3 linked regions of the Callithrix jacchus genome follow. The protein of the gene in region 1 interacts with the protein of each later gene in a pairwise test. Links are inferred from orthologs where the notes say so. Each region holds a gene or a part of one and is shown in the gene's direction. Other genes may lie near its edges.

The links.
Region 2: the proteins of SPINK7 (region 1) and RABL6 interact in binary tests that used the Homo sapiens proteins (3 or more experiments, as listed by UniProt). The link is inferred for Callithrix jacchus from reciprocal best matches to the Homo sapiens genes SPINK7 and RABL6.
Region 3: the proteins of SPINK7 (region 1) and metallothionein-2 interact in binary tests that used the Homo sapiens proteins (3 or more experiments, as listed by UniProt). The link is inferred for Callithrix jacchus from reciprocal best matches to the Homo sapiens genes SPINK7 and MT2A.

The regions. Positions count from the first base shown.
Region 1 is NC_133503.1:47,017,286-47,021,460, forward strand, and holds the start of SPINK7 (serine protease inhibitor Kazal-type 7), read left to right. Parts: upstream 1-1,272; 5' UTR 1,273-1,331; coding exon 1,332-1,392; intron 1,393-2,458; coding exon 2,459-2,484; intron 2,485-3,184; coding exon 3,185-3,309; intron 3,310-4,175. UniProt on the Homo sapiens protein: Probable serine protease inhibitor.
Region 2 is NC_133502.1:185,271,081-185,274,731, forward strand, and holds part of RABL6 (rab-like protein 6), read left to right. Parts: intron 1-702; coding exon 703-806; intron 807-1,941; coding exon 1,942-2,258; intron 2,259-2,426; coding exon 2,427-2,592; intron 2,593-3,425; coding exon 3,426-3,638; intron 3,639-3,651. UniProt on the Homo sapiens protein: May enhance cellular proliferation. May reduce growth inhibitory activity of CDKN2A.
Region 3 is NC_133521.1:14,458,913-14,461,799, forward strand, and holds metallothionein-2, read left to right. Parts: upstream 1-1,347; 5' UTR 1,348-1,428; coding exon 1,429-1,456; intron 1,457-1,756; coding exon 1,757-1,822; intron 1,823-2,029; coding exon 2,030-2,121; 3' UTR 2,122-2,266; downstream 2,267-2,887. UniProt on the Homo sapiens protein: Metallothioneins have a high content of cysteine residues that bind various heavy metals; these proteins are transcriptionally regulated by both heavy metals and glucocorticoids.

The DNA.
Region 1 (4,175 bases):
GATTAGGATGAAACTCAGTCTCTGGGATGATCTCTCTGCTGTTTGCAACTATTCTAGTTCTCCATCTGACCTTCAGGGGGCAAGGTCAGACTGTGTATTAGTCTGTTTTCAAGCTACTGATAAAGACATACCCCAAACTGGGTAATTTATAAAGAAAAAGAGGTTCCACATTGCTGGAGAGGCCTCACAATCATCGCAGAAAGTGAATGGCACGTCTTACATGGCAGTAGGCAAGAGAGAATGAGAGCCAAGTGCAAGGGAAAACCCCTTATAAAACGATTATATCTGGTGAGACTTATTCACTATCATGAGAACAGCATGGGGGAAAACACCTCCATGATTCAGTTATCTCCCATGGATCCCCCCAACAACATATGGGAATTAGGGGAGCTACAATTCAAGATGGGATTTGGGTGGGGACAGAGCAAAACCATATCAGACTGATTGCACTCACTCCATACATAACAAAGCATGTAATGGCTGTAAGACCACAAGGAGAAGTGACAGTAGCATTGCTCTGGGCTGAAAGTTTTCATTGCTAACATGAGAACTGAGAACTCATCTTCACTTCACCTTGACTACAATATTTCAAATAGTGACCACTCTGTCCACTTGGCATCCACAGTGAAGGCAGTACAGCATGATCAGCGGACCACCATACATGTGTAGCTTGAGTAAGAAACAAAGTTTTAATTTACAGATATCTTGGAGTTATATGTTATCACAACGCAACCAAGCCTTCTTCAGGCTCACAGCATGTAATGACTTATCCAAGATTATACAGGTAGAACATGTCAAAAGTAGTATGTTAATGATCTTCCCCATACCTCATAAATGCTAAAGTCACTGTTCCTTCTATTAGGTCTCAGTTTGCTTCATTGGTTCATTTCCTCAAAAATAAACAATATTTCCCCAGGTACCAAGATATAAACATAGGTGTAATTAGTCTAATCTGGGTTTAATCAATTCCAGTTTTGTAAAATAAAAGAAATTTCCACTTATTTTATAACTAAGCCAAGAAGCTCATACTTAATCTCTTCTAGTATATGAAGTTCAGAATTCTTAACAGTCCCACCTTTGGGGCAGAGAGAGAATACTTATCTCAATTAACCAAATCACTGGTCAGATAAGAGGTAGCAGTTAAGTAACAAGGACTGTAACACAACCGCCCAGGGTGTGACACTGTGCTTTGCGATCCTCTGGATGACCTCATAGGAAAGGTGGAGAACCAAGCCTTGCACATATATAAACATGACCCCTTTCCCAGGACATGGTCAAGGCAACTGTAGTGACAATCTCGGAGCAGCCTCTGCACCACAGCCATTTCCAGCATGAAGATCATTGGTGGTCTCCTTCTGTTCTGTACTGTGATCCATTTCTACAGCATCTCAGGTAAGTTAAGGTCAGACAATGCCCTATACAGCCATTAAGTTTGTTTTCACAAATAATCCCTCCTGAGATGTGAGCATCTCAGAAACATCTGGTTGTAAGAATTTAAAGTATAACAGTTTGTAACAGAATTTTATATTCTGTCTGTACTTTGAGAGACTTGAGTCTAATGTCTTCACTTTCAATGATTCTTATTTGCATCCATAGACCAAAAAATGATCTAATTTATCCATAAGTCTTTCATTTCATATGTTCATATGGACACTGGAAGTTGTGAGTGTTATTAGATACACTATTCCTTAGTGTCAAGATACAGAAAAATTTAGATGTCTTCTTTTTTTTTAATTTTTTATTGGATTTTAGGTTTTGGGGTACATGAGCAGAGCATGCAAGACAGTTGCGTAGGAACACACATGTCAGTGTGCTTTTCTTTCCTTCTCCCCTTCACCCACATTTGGCATTTCTCCCCTGGCTATCCCTCCCCACCTCCCCCTCCCACTGGCCCTCCCCTTTTCCCCCCAATAGACCCCAGTGTTTAGTACTCCCCTATCTGTGTCCATGTGTTCTCATTTTTCTTAAATCAGTTTGTAGGGATTAAAATAAAACACAATTCTCAAAAAGCCAAGGGTCAACAATTAGGCTTTTATGTTGAGAAAAGTTAATTAAAGTCTTTCCAACCCCTAAAGACATTCCAATAATGCATTTCTTTATATCAATTAGGAAGGAAAGGATATCAAAGATGATCCTTCAGGCTCTTAAGAGTGATGATTTTCATGATTCTTATTGCTACCTGACTTTGGCCAATATCAAAAAAACTATGAGGTTCAGAAAACATCCCATGATTAATAAATGGAGGAAATTTTGATAATTCTTTTGCCTAAACCAAGGGTTAATCTAACCCATTGGCCATTCAACTTCCTCAGCAAACAACTATGATTTTGCATAAGGATGGAGAGTGTGCTGAAATTCATTGCCAGAGAAAATCTAATTATATAGAATGAAACATATTAATTAATGAGATGTAAAATTTGCTTTATTTTTAACATTTTCATCTGCATCTCTTTTTCAGAAGCTGCTAGTCTGCCTTTAAAAACAGTGAGTATTTTGAATAACATTTTAATGCCAATGCCTATGGACTGCCATTTAGCCAATTTATGGTGGATAAATTCAGTACATTTAGGAGGATTCAAGAGGGAAGCAAACACATATGGAGAAATGGTATCTGCTCTCCAGAAGGCAACTGAAGAAATATATCTATAAACAAACATATTTTAAAACTGTTTTTTAAACATTCCAGAGTTAAAGGAGGGAGAGCTGCATTCCAGCTGAGAGGTTGGTAATATTTTCCTAAAAGGCGTAACACGTAAGAAGCGGGGCAAAAATACCCTGATAAATTACACAGGCTCTGGTTTTCAATACTAGCTCTAATACTTACCAGCATTTACCTTGAACAAGTTATCGCTAAGCTTTAATTTCTCCATTTATAAAGAGACTTAATGGTAAAACTTACGCTATTTAGTTGTTTTGAAGATTAAACAACAAAATTAATGTAAGATTTAAGTTTAATGTCTAGCGCAGAAATGCCCAGCAATTGTTAACTGAGATTAGAAAAAATAGAATATGGTAGTACTAGTATTTGTCATAGTGGTAATACTAGTACTTACAGAAGTGGTCAAGCAACATCTGAATATCTGAGCTGGGACTTCCAGCCCTTGTAGTATATCTAAGAGTGGCCAAGGTATCCTAGCTTGGGGTCTGGGAGAAAAAACAGGATATTTGCTTGTGTATGACACAGGTGGACTGCAGCATTTACAAGAAGTATCCAGTGGTGGCCATCCCCTGCCCCATCACATACCTGCCAGTTTGTGGTTCTGACTACATCACCTATGGGAATGAATGTCACTTGTGTACTGAGAGCTTGTGAGTACCTCATAAGAAGAAAAAGAGATCTGAACCCATGCTCTCTACTATGAATCCTTCTTCTTTCCAGGACCCAGCTTAAATCTCTATATGCTATAATTTATAATTATTCCCACTCAGAACAGCAAGTGGGGATAGAAAACGGACTGTTGCACAATCAGACAGGGTAGTGTCACCTGTTCTGCCAGCTTATACTGGTCCCATCCCATCACAGAACCTCCAATTCCTGTCTGTCAGTTGTGGGAATCCAGTAAGACTGTGAATTCTTAAACTGCTGTCCCAGAGCACAGAAGTTCTATAGAGACAAGTCAGGAATCACCATTAGGGTTAAAGGGACCATATAGGATAGTTTATGACATTAAGTTTAGCTTTGACTATATTAAGTAGTGGAGTGCTGTGTTCTTCATGTTTGAAAAAAGGGCTCTGAACTCCCTACCCTCAAAAAATTATTGAAAACCACTACACTACCTGACTTCCAAGATACTTAACAGTCTCAGTGCAGCTTGATTCTTAGACACAGGGTGTCTACAGGATTTTTATCTTCAAATTCCTAGAAGCTCTAAGTATCTGTAGCTTTAAAGGGGAATAAGGCTGCAAAATAAAGGCTACAAAAAATGATTGTTTTTCCTTTATCTAAAATAAGGGATACAAGCTGTCAGTATTTGGACCAGAATACCATAGACATGTTTTGTTTAGGTATTTTCTTTGGCCCACACAACGTTTTTGCAGATATGTAGCTAGGCAGATGTCACTTTTTTGGTACAAGACATGTAAATTGCATTTAACTGTCTCATACCAAGTCCACTGTGATCGTTGTTAACTCTTTTAGGCCACTGGATTTTGGACACTTAGATCTTGTGTTTTCA
Region 2 (3,651 bases), on another chromosome or scaffold:
CACCATCTCAAGTCTCTCTTAGCCTGCAGATGCACCTGCTTTTTCTGTCTAGTTGATTTGCTCTGTCGTATATGCTCCCTGGTGTCCAGCCAGCAGACCTTCCATGGCCACAAGAAGACACAGCCCTGTTCAGTCCCCAGGTGCCTCCTGCGTGGGACTCAGGTGCTTGAGATGTGGCTGTTGCAGGTGTTTATTTAATTTGAATCTAAAGTTAGCAGCAACGTGAACCCACAGCTCATCAGACCGGCCTGGGGTTCCAGGCCAGGTGGGCTGTGGTTTGCTGCACAGCCCAGCTGCTGGTGGGAGTGGGGGTGATGGCACGGACGCCGGGGCTAAGTCCTGCCCCCAGAGGAGATTTGCGAATCTGGGAGCAGAGAGGCTGTTTTCCAGGTGAAGGTGGGGCTTCTGCACCCTCGCAAGCACATGTATGGGTAAAGGTGCTTCTGTTGGGGTTTGTGCCTGTGGTTGGCATCTGTGCCCTGAGGTAGCATAGGTGTCATGCTGGCCACTGTGAAGGAGTCCTGCGGGCTTCTGTGGTTCCAGTGAGGCCCAGCTCAGAGCTCCATGAGGTGCTGAGCAGCCAGCCCTGCCCCATCTCCTGGTTTCAGCAGGTGGTGCCCCCGATGCCTTCGGCTGCTGTCGGGCTGGGGTGCTCACATCAGGAAGGGTCCCTGCTCAGGCCTATGTGCTTCTCTTCTGCAGAGGGAGACGCTGCTGCGGCAGCTGGAGACAAACCAGCTGGACATGGACGCCACACTAGAGGAGCTGTCGGTGCAGCAGGAGACGGAGGACCAGAATTACAGCATGTGCGTGGCTGGGCCCAACGGTGGGGGCAGTGTGAGGGCTGCAGGCATAGACATGGTGCCAGGCCTGGCCTGCTCCAGGACAGCAGAGGGGAGTGCCCTGTTTGGGGTAAATCAGTCATCTTGGGGCACAGGTGGAGGAGGGCTCAGGCTGGCACTGCCCCCAGGAGCCCCATCAGAGTCCCACCTGACATGGACTGTGTGTGCAAGTCATGCCATGTCTGCTGCTCTGAGTGCCACCGACTGGCCAGGCACTGGTGCTGGGGGCTGCCTGCTCCTTAGGAGCTCGGCTTCCCAGACTGACAACCAGCGTGGTGTGTGCTTTCTAAGGAGCTCCTTGTGCTGAAGAGGCATATGGGTCAGGACATACAGGCCTCTGGTCCTTGATAGGAGTGGGTGGCTCAGCATCCTCCTGAGTGGGCATGGGCAGCATAGGCAGCCCCAGGGTTGCCGGTGGTGGGAAGGCCGACCCATCCTCTGCCTCAGGCTCCTGCACAGCTAGGGACTTGGAGCCTCCCTGGGACCCAGCTAGGGACACTGAAACAGCCCCTCCTGAGTTCCCCAGCAGATCTTTATTTCCAGAGGGAGAACCCGTGGGTCACCTTGGATCTGGCTGTTGGACAGAGCAGATTGCTCTGGACACAGCAGCAGACTGAGAAGGCGATGTGATGCCTAGAGGGACCCGTGGCTTCTGGCTGCCAGGGCGGCCCCAGAAAGGAGCCCCTCACACGGGCGTTTCTCTGCAGAACCAAGCTGGGATTTCCAGGGACTGAGTTGGGCAAGCTGGACGCTGCATCAACTGCATGCACCCCGCCAAGCCCAGCCCCTCCTCTTCCCAGAATCCCCTCGGGAAGGTCCGCTTGCAGCCATCTGGCAACCTTTGCACAGAGCCCCCATCAGCTGCCTCAGAACAGATCTCCAGGGACTTTCTGAGGAGTGGGACATGCCCACACTGGTGCCTGCTGTCCCCACCCTTCGGCACTGCTGCTCCTAAAAGTGGGTTGGGAGGGTGGCCTCTGTGGGGCAGGTGCCCCAGAACACAGTCACTCTTCCCAGCAGCAGCAAAGAGCCCCCTATCACCCAGGAGCCTCAGGGAGAGGCAGAGGAGCCAGCCTTCTCACCGCCTTCTACCTTCCAGCTTCCTGGAGATGATGGAGGTTCGCAGCCGGGGCCATGCATCCCCCTTGGCGGCCAACGGGCAGAGCCCGTCCTCGGGTTCCCAGTCACCAGTGGTAGCTCCAGGCGCTGTGTCCACGGGGAGCTCCAGCCCCAGCACACCCCAGCCTGCCCCACAGCTACCCATCAACACCACCCCGCCAGCCTCCGTGGCCCCTACACCACCCTCAGAGGCCCTGCCCCCGCCTACATGCCCCTCAGCCCCCGCCCCACGGCGCAGCATCATCTCCAGGCTCTTTGGGACCTCACCTGCTGCTGAGGTCGCCCCACCTCCTGCAGGTAGGCTCTGGAGCTGCCCTCCGACCCTGGTTCCTGCACCCTCACAGGTGGGGCCCCTGGTCTTGGAGCACTCCCCACCTCTTCCTGCTTGTCCCAGTCCCAGCCTGGGTGGGCCTGGCCAGGGGTTGTGCACAGTGAGACCTCTGGTGCTAAATGAAGAGGAACCAGCATCACTGTTCACAGAGCCAGTCCCGGCCACAGAGGCCCCAGCAAAAGTCCAGAATGTGGAGGACTTCATTCCTGAGGACCACCTGGACCGCAGCTTCCTGGAAGACACAACCCCCGCCAGGGCTGAGAAGAAGGTCGGGGCCAAGGCTGCGCAGGACAGCGACAGGTGAGGGGGGCCCTGAACCACTGTCCCACTGCCCCCAGGGGGCCCCTGCCAGCTGGGCAGTGTGGCTGAGGACAGCGCAGATCTGTGGCCAGCGCAGAAGAGGGAAGGGCTCGGATGGGGCTTTCAGACCTTGGAATGGCCCGGCCACCCACTCTGCCCACACCCTGGAGAGGGCACATTCCTCATGGAGGGCATTGGTGAGGCTCCTGGAAGTCACATGGGGAGGAGGTTCAGGCCACATGGAGGGCACTGGTAAGGACACTCTGGGTCACATGTCGAGGTTCGGGCCACCAGATACCGTCTCTGCAGGGCCCAGGGTTCCTGCAGGTTCCAGAGCTGGGAGCTAGAGCCAGCTCCCCATCCGTCTGCCAGCCCCTCCCACTGCTGTCTGCCAAGCTGCCCCAAATGCTCCCTGCAGTAAAGCCTTGTATTTGGTCCCAGGCATGGGCTCCACTGGACAGGCTCCACCTTAGGTGGTCTCAGCACCCTGTCCTCACCCATTGCTGTGGGGCACGGGTTTCCTACAGAAATACAAAGGATAGAAAGTGGCCCTGAGCTGGGCTCGCCCCCTCAGTGCCCAGCTGCACTGCCACCCTCCAGGCCACTGACCAGCCACAGGGCAGCACTGTGTCCAACCTTGTCCTACCCGGCCCTTTCCTGCTCAGAAGCCCCGTGACTGCCATGAGGGGCGTCTCCACTAGACACAGCTTCTAGGAGACCCTGGGGTGGGGCCACCATCAGGGTGTGCTGTGGTGCCTCGAACCAAGGCCTCTGAGCCAGGCCATCCGTCCCTACCCTGCTACCTCCTGACTGCCTGGCCACTTGCTTTGCAGTGATGCAGAGGCCCTGGGTGGCAACCCAATGGTGGCAGGGTTCCAGGACGACGTGGACCTCGAAGACCAGCCATGTGGGAGCCCCCCACCGCCCACAGGCCCTGTCCCTAGTGAAAACATCACTCTTTCAAGTGAGGAGGAAGCGGAAGTGGCACATCCCCCAAAAGGCCCTGCACAGGCTCCCCAGCAGTGCTCAGAGCCAGGGGCCAAACGGTATGGGAAAGTT
Region 3 (2,887 bases), on another chromosome or scaffold:
TGGAAAGTGCCAGCAGGGGAAAGAACAGGATGTTTACCAGCACCTTCCACGACAGCCACGGGCGTGGGGCCCAGGACAGGGTCCCCAGAGGAAGTGACGGTTCATCTGTGCTTATAGTAAGAGCTGCAAGGACAGCCTGTCCTCCGCCCACCACCTCACTAAACTCCCACTGCAGTAACTTGTACTCCCTCAGCCTTCCAGGAAGCTTCCAGTAACCACTTCCTGACTCCTAGCATGACACACTTCTGGCAGTCCGAGGTTGGTGACCTAAGACGGTAGCACAGCGCCAGACACATGCAGGCAGGGAAACAGGATGTGCCTCTCCAGACAGGCATGTGGATGCCACCTGGGCTTTCCCCCTCAGCCTCCAAAGGGGAAGAACATTCTTGCCGGGGTTTTCCCCTTCCAAATGTCTCAGAGCCATTCCAGCTAGCTCCTGCTAGTTCCTTCCTTCCCAAGCTAGAACACAAATCCTTCCCCTCCTTGCCTGGCAAGCACCTTCTTACCCTCAGACCCCAGGCAATGGCCCACCTTCTCCCAGGCTGGTCAGGGTCCCCTCCTCTCTGTTCCCTTAGCCCCTGAGCTTCCTGAGACCAAGCTTGTGGCTTCTTGCCCTTATCCTCTCTCCTTGGTGTCTCTATGTTAGAGGGCCATCAGCATCTGCTGGGGCCTGGTGGCAGTCAGGGCACTCTGCTACTCGCTAGCTGTGTGATCCTGGACAAGTAACTTCTCTGTGACTGCAGTTTCTCCTCTCTACAATGAGAATACCGGAGATTCCTTATCTTAGGTGTTGATACAAGATTAAGTGACATCTCACACAGACACACTTTCTACAGTCCCTGTTGCACGCTAAAGCACTCAACATGCCACGGATACATCACCGGTAACCACCCCATGGGTTTACTATGATGCTGCACAATTATTAAGCCTTGACTGCTAGAGTTGTAACCAGTCTGCACTTTCAACCGGTTTACCGTGCAAACAGCATTCCCAAGTCCGGCTTTCACCTGCGCCCTAACGGCTCAGCTTCAAAAGTACAGGACGGGGGGAGGGCAGCTGTGCACACGGCGGAGGGCAAGGGGCAGGGTGCTGGGCGCGCGGCGTGGTACTACGTCTTCTCCCTGCACCCAGCCCCAGGCGCACGTAGGCCGGCTTCGGGGAACTGACCCGCCGCGGCCCGTGTGCAGAGGGGGGTGCGCCCGGCCCCATGAGCTCAGTCTGGTGTTTCACCGGGAGCAGCGAGTGACTCAGCGCGGAGCGTGTGCAGGCGGCGCCGGGCCAGGGCGGGGCTTTTGCGCTCTCCCCGGCTCTTTCCAGCTATAAACACAGCTCGCCGCGCTCAGCGCCGCCACGCCTCAACTTGTACTCCAAGTCCTAGCGAGTTCGCGTGCAGCCGTGTTCCGACTCCAGCCGCCTCTTCAGCTCGCCATGGACCCCAACTGCTCCTGCACCGCCGGTAAGGGGCTGGGGATGCCCTGTAGCGCCAGAGAAGCAGTTTCTGACCCCTTTTTCTTTCTCTGATCACTCAATTTCATGGCAGGAATTGCTCCTTCCCAAAGCGTTTTGGGGTGTCTTTCTCTCCATTCTAGGTTATTCGGAGCCCCCTTTTTTACCGTTAAGGAGATCTGAGTTAATAGCTTGCTCAAGTTCCCAGGAATTGGTTGTGGACGGAGAAACTCGGCCCCGGGCTCCTAGCACGCCGTCCCGCGTTCAGATATTCAGGGACCGTTCTTACCTCTGTCTTTTCTCCTGACAGGTGACTCCTGCACCTGCGGCGGCTCCTGCAAGTGCAAAGAGTGCAAATGCACCTCCTGCAAGAAAAGTAAGTGGGATCCTCTCTTTCCTCTACCCCCTCACTGTCCTCCAGCCTGTCCCCAGCCCTCTACATCATCCTCGGCGGAAGTAAAGCAGTCTGGGGATGCCCCATTGCATGGAAGTTGTTGCCTCCTCAGTGATTCTTATCAGGGAGAGCAGGGATCCTTCTCTGTGTCCCTAGTACTCATCTCTGCTGCCTCCTCTCTGTCCCCAGGCTGCTGCTCCTGCTGCCCTGTGGGATGTGCCAAGTGTGCCCAGGGCTGCATCTGCAAAGGGGCATTGGACAAGTGCAACTGCTGCGCCTGATGCCAGGACAGCCCTGCTCCCATATGTAAATAACATGACCTCTACAAACCTGGATTTTTTTTTTTTAATGTACAACCCTGACCCGTTTGCTACATTCCTTTTGCTATGAAATAATGTGAGTGATAATAAAAGAGCTTTGACTTGATTCTGCCTCTGGTTTCCTTTATATGCCTTAAAAATAAGAGACTGGGGTGAGGGATTGAACTAGGAGGGCAGAGACCTGGCCTGTGGATGGAAGTGTAAGCTGCTAAGAAACAGTGTATTCAGGCAAGCCAGGCTACCACACTGAGTTTCATCTTTTGTAAAACTGAATGTTGTGCCAGATCATATGGGGGCAGGAGGGACACATACACGACCAGTTTCAGTGTCATGTCAAATGTGGCACAGAAACTTCGCCATTCCTCATCTTCACTTTCTGATTTCCCTGCCCAACTTCAGTTCTTCATGGGATTTTAGACTTGAAAGTGACTCCAGGGGGTGGTATCCAACTCCCCAGTGGCTGGAGTCTGACATCGGATTTCCAAAACTCCCTGCCGAGAATGACCAGTTTTGTTTTGTTTTCCATTAGTCATAAACCTAAATTCTGGTAAAATAACGAGTTAACAAGAAAATGAAAGTTAAGAAGAAAATAAACAACGATCATTTATTAGATTCAACAGGAAAATTTCAACAAATATTTGAAGAACAAATTACATAGGAAAAATAAAAGAATTACCAGCACTACACATTTGTCCAAGGGTTTCCAGGCCAGTTCTGAGACTGGCCC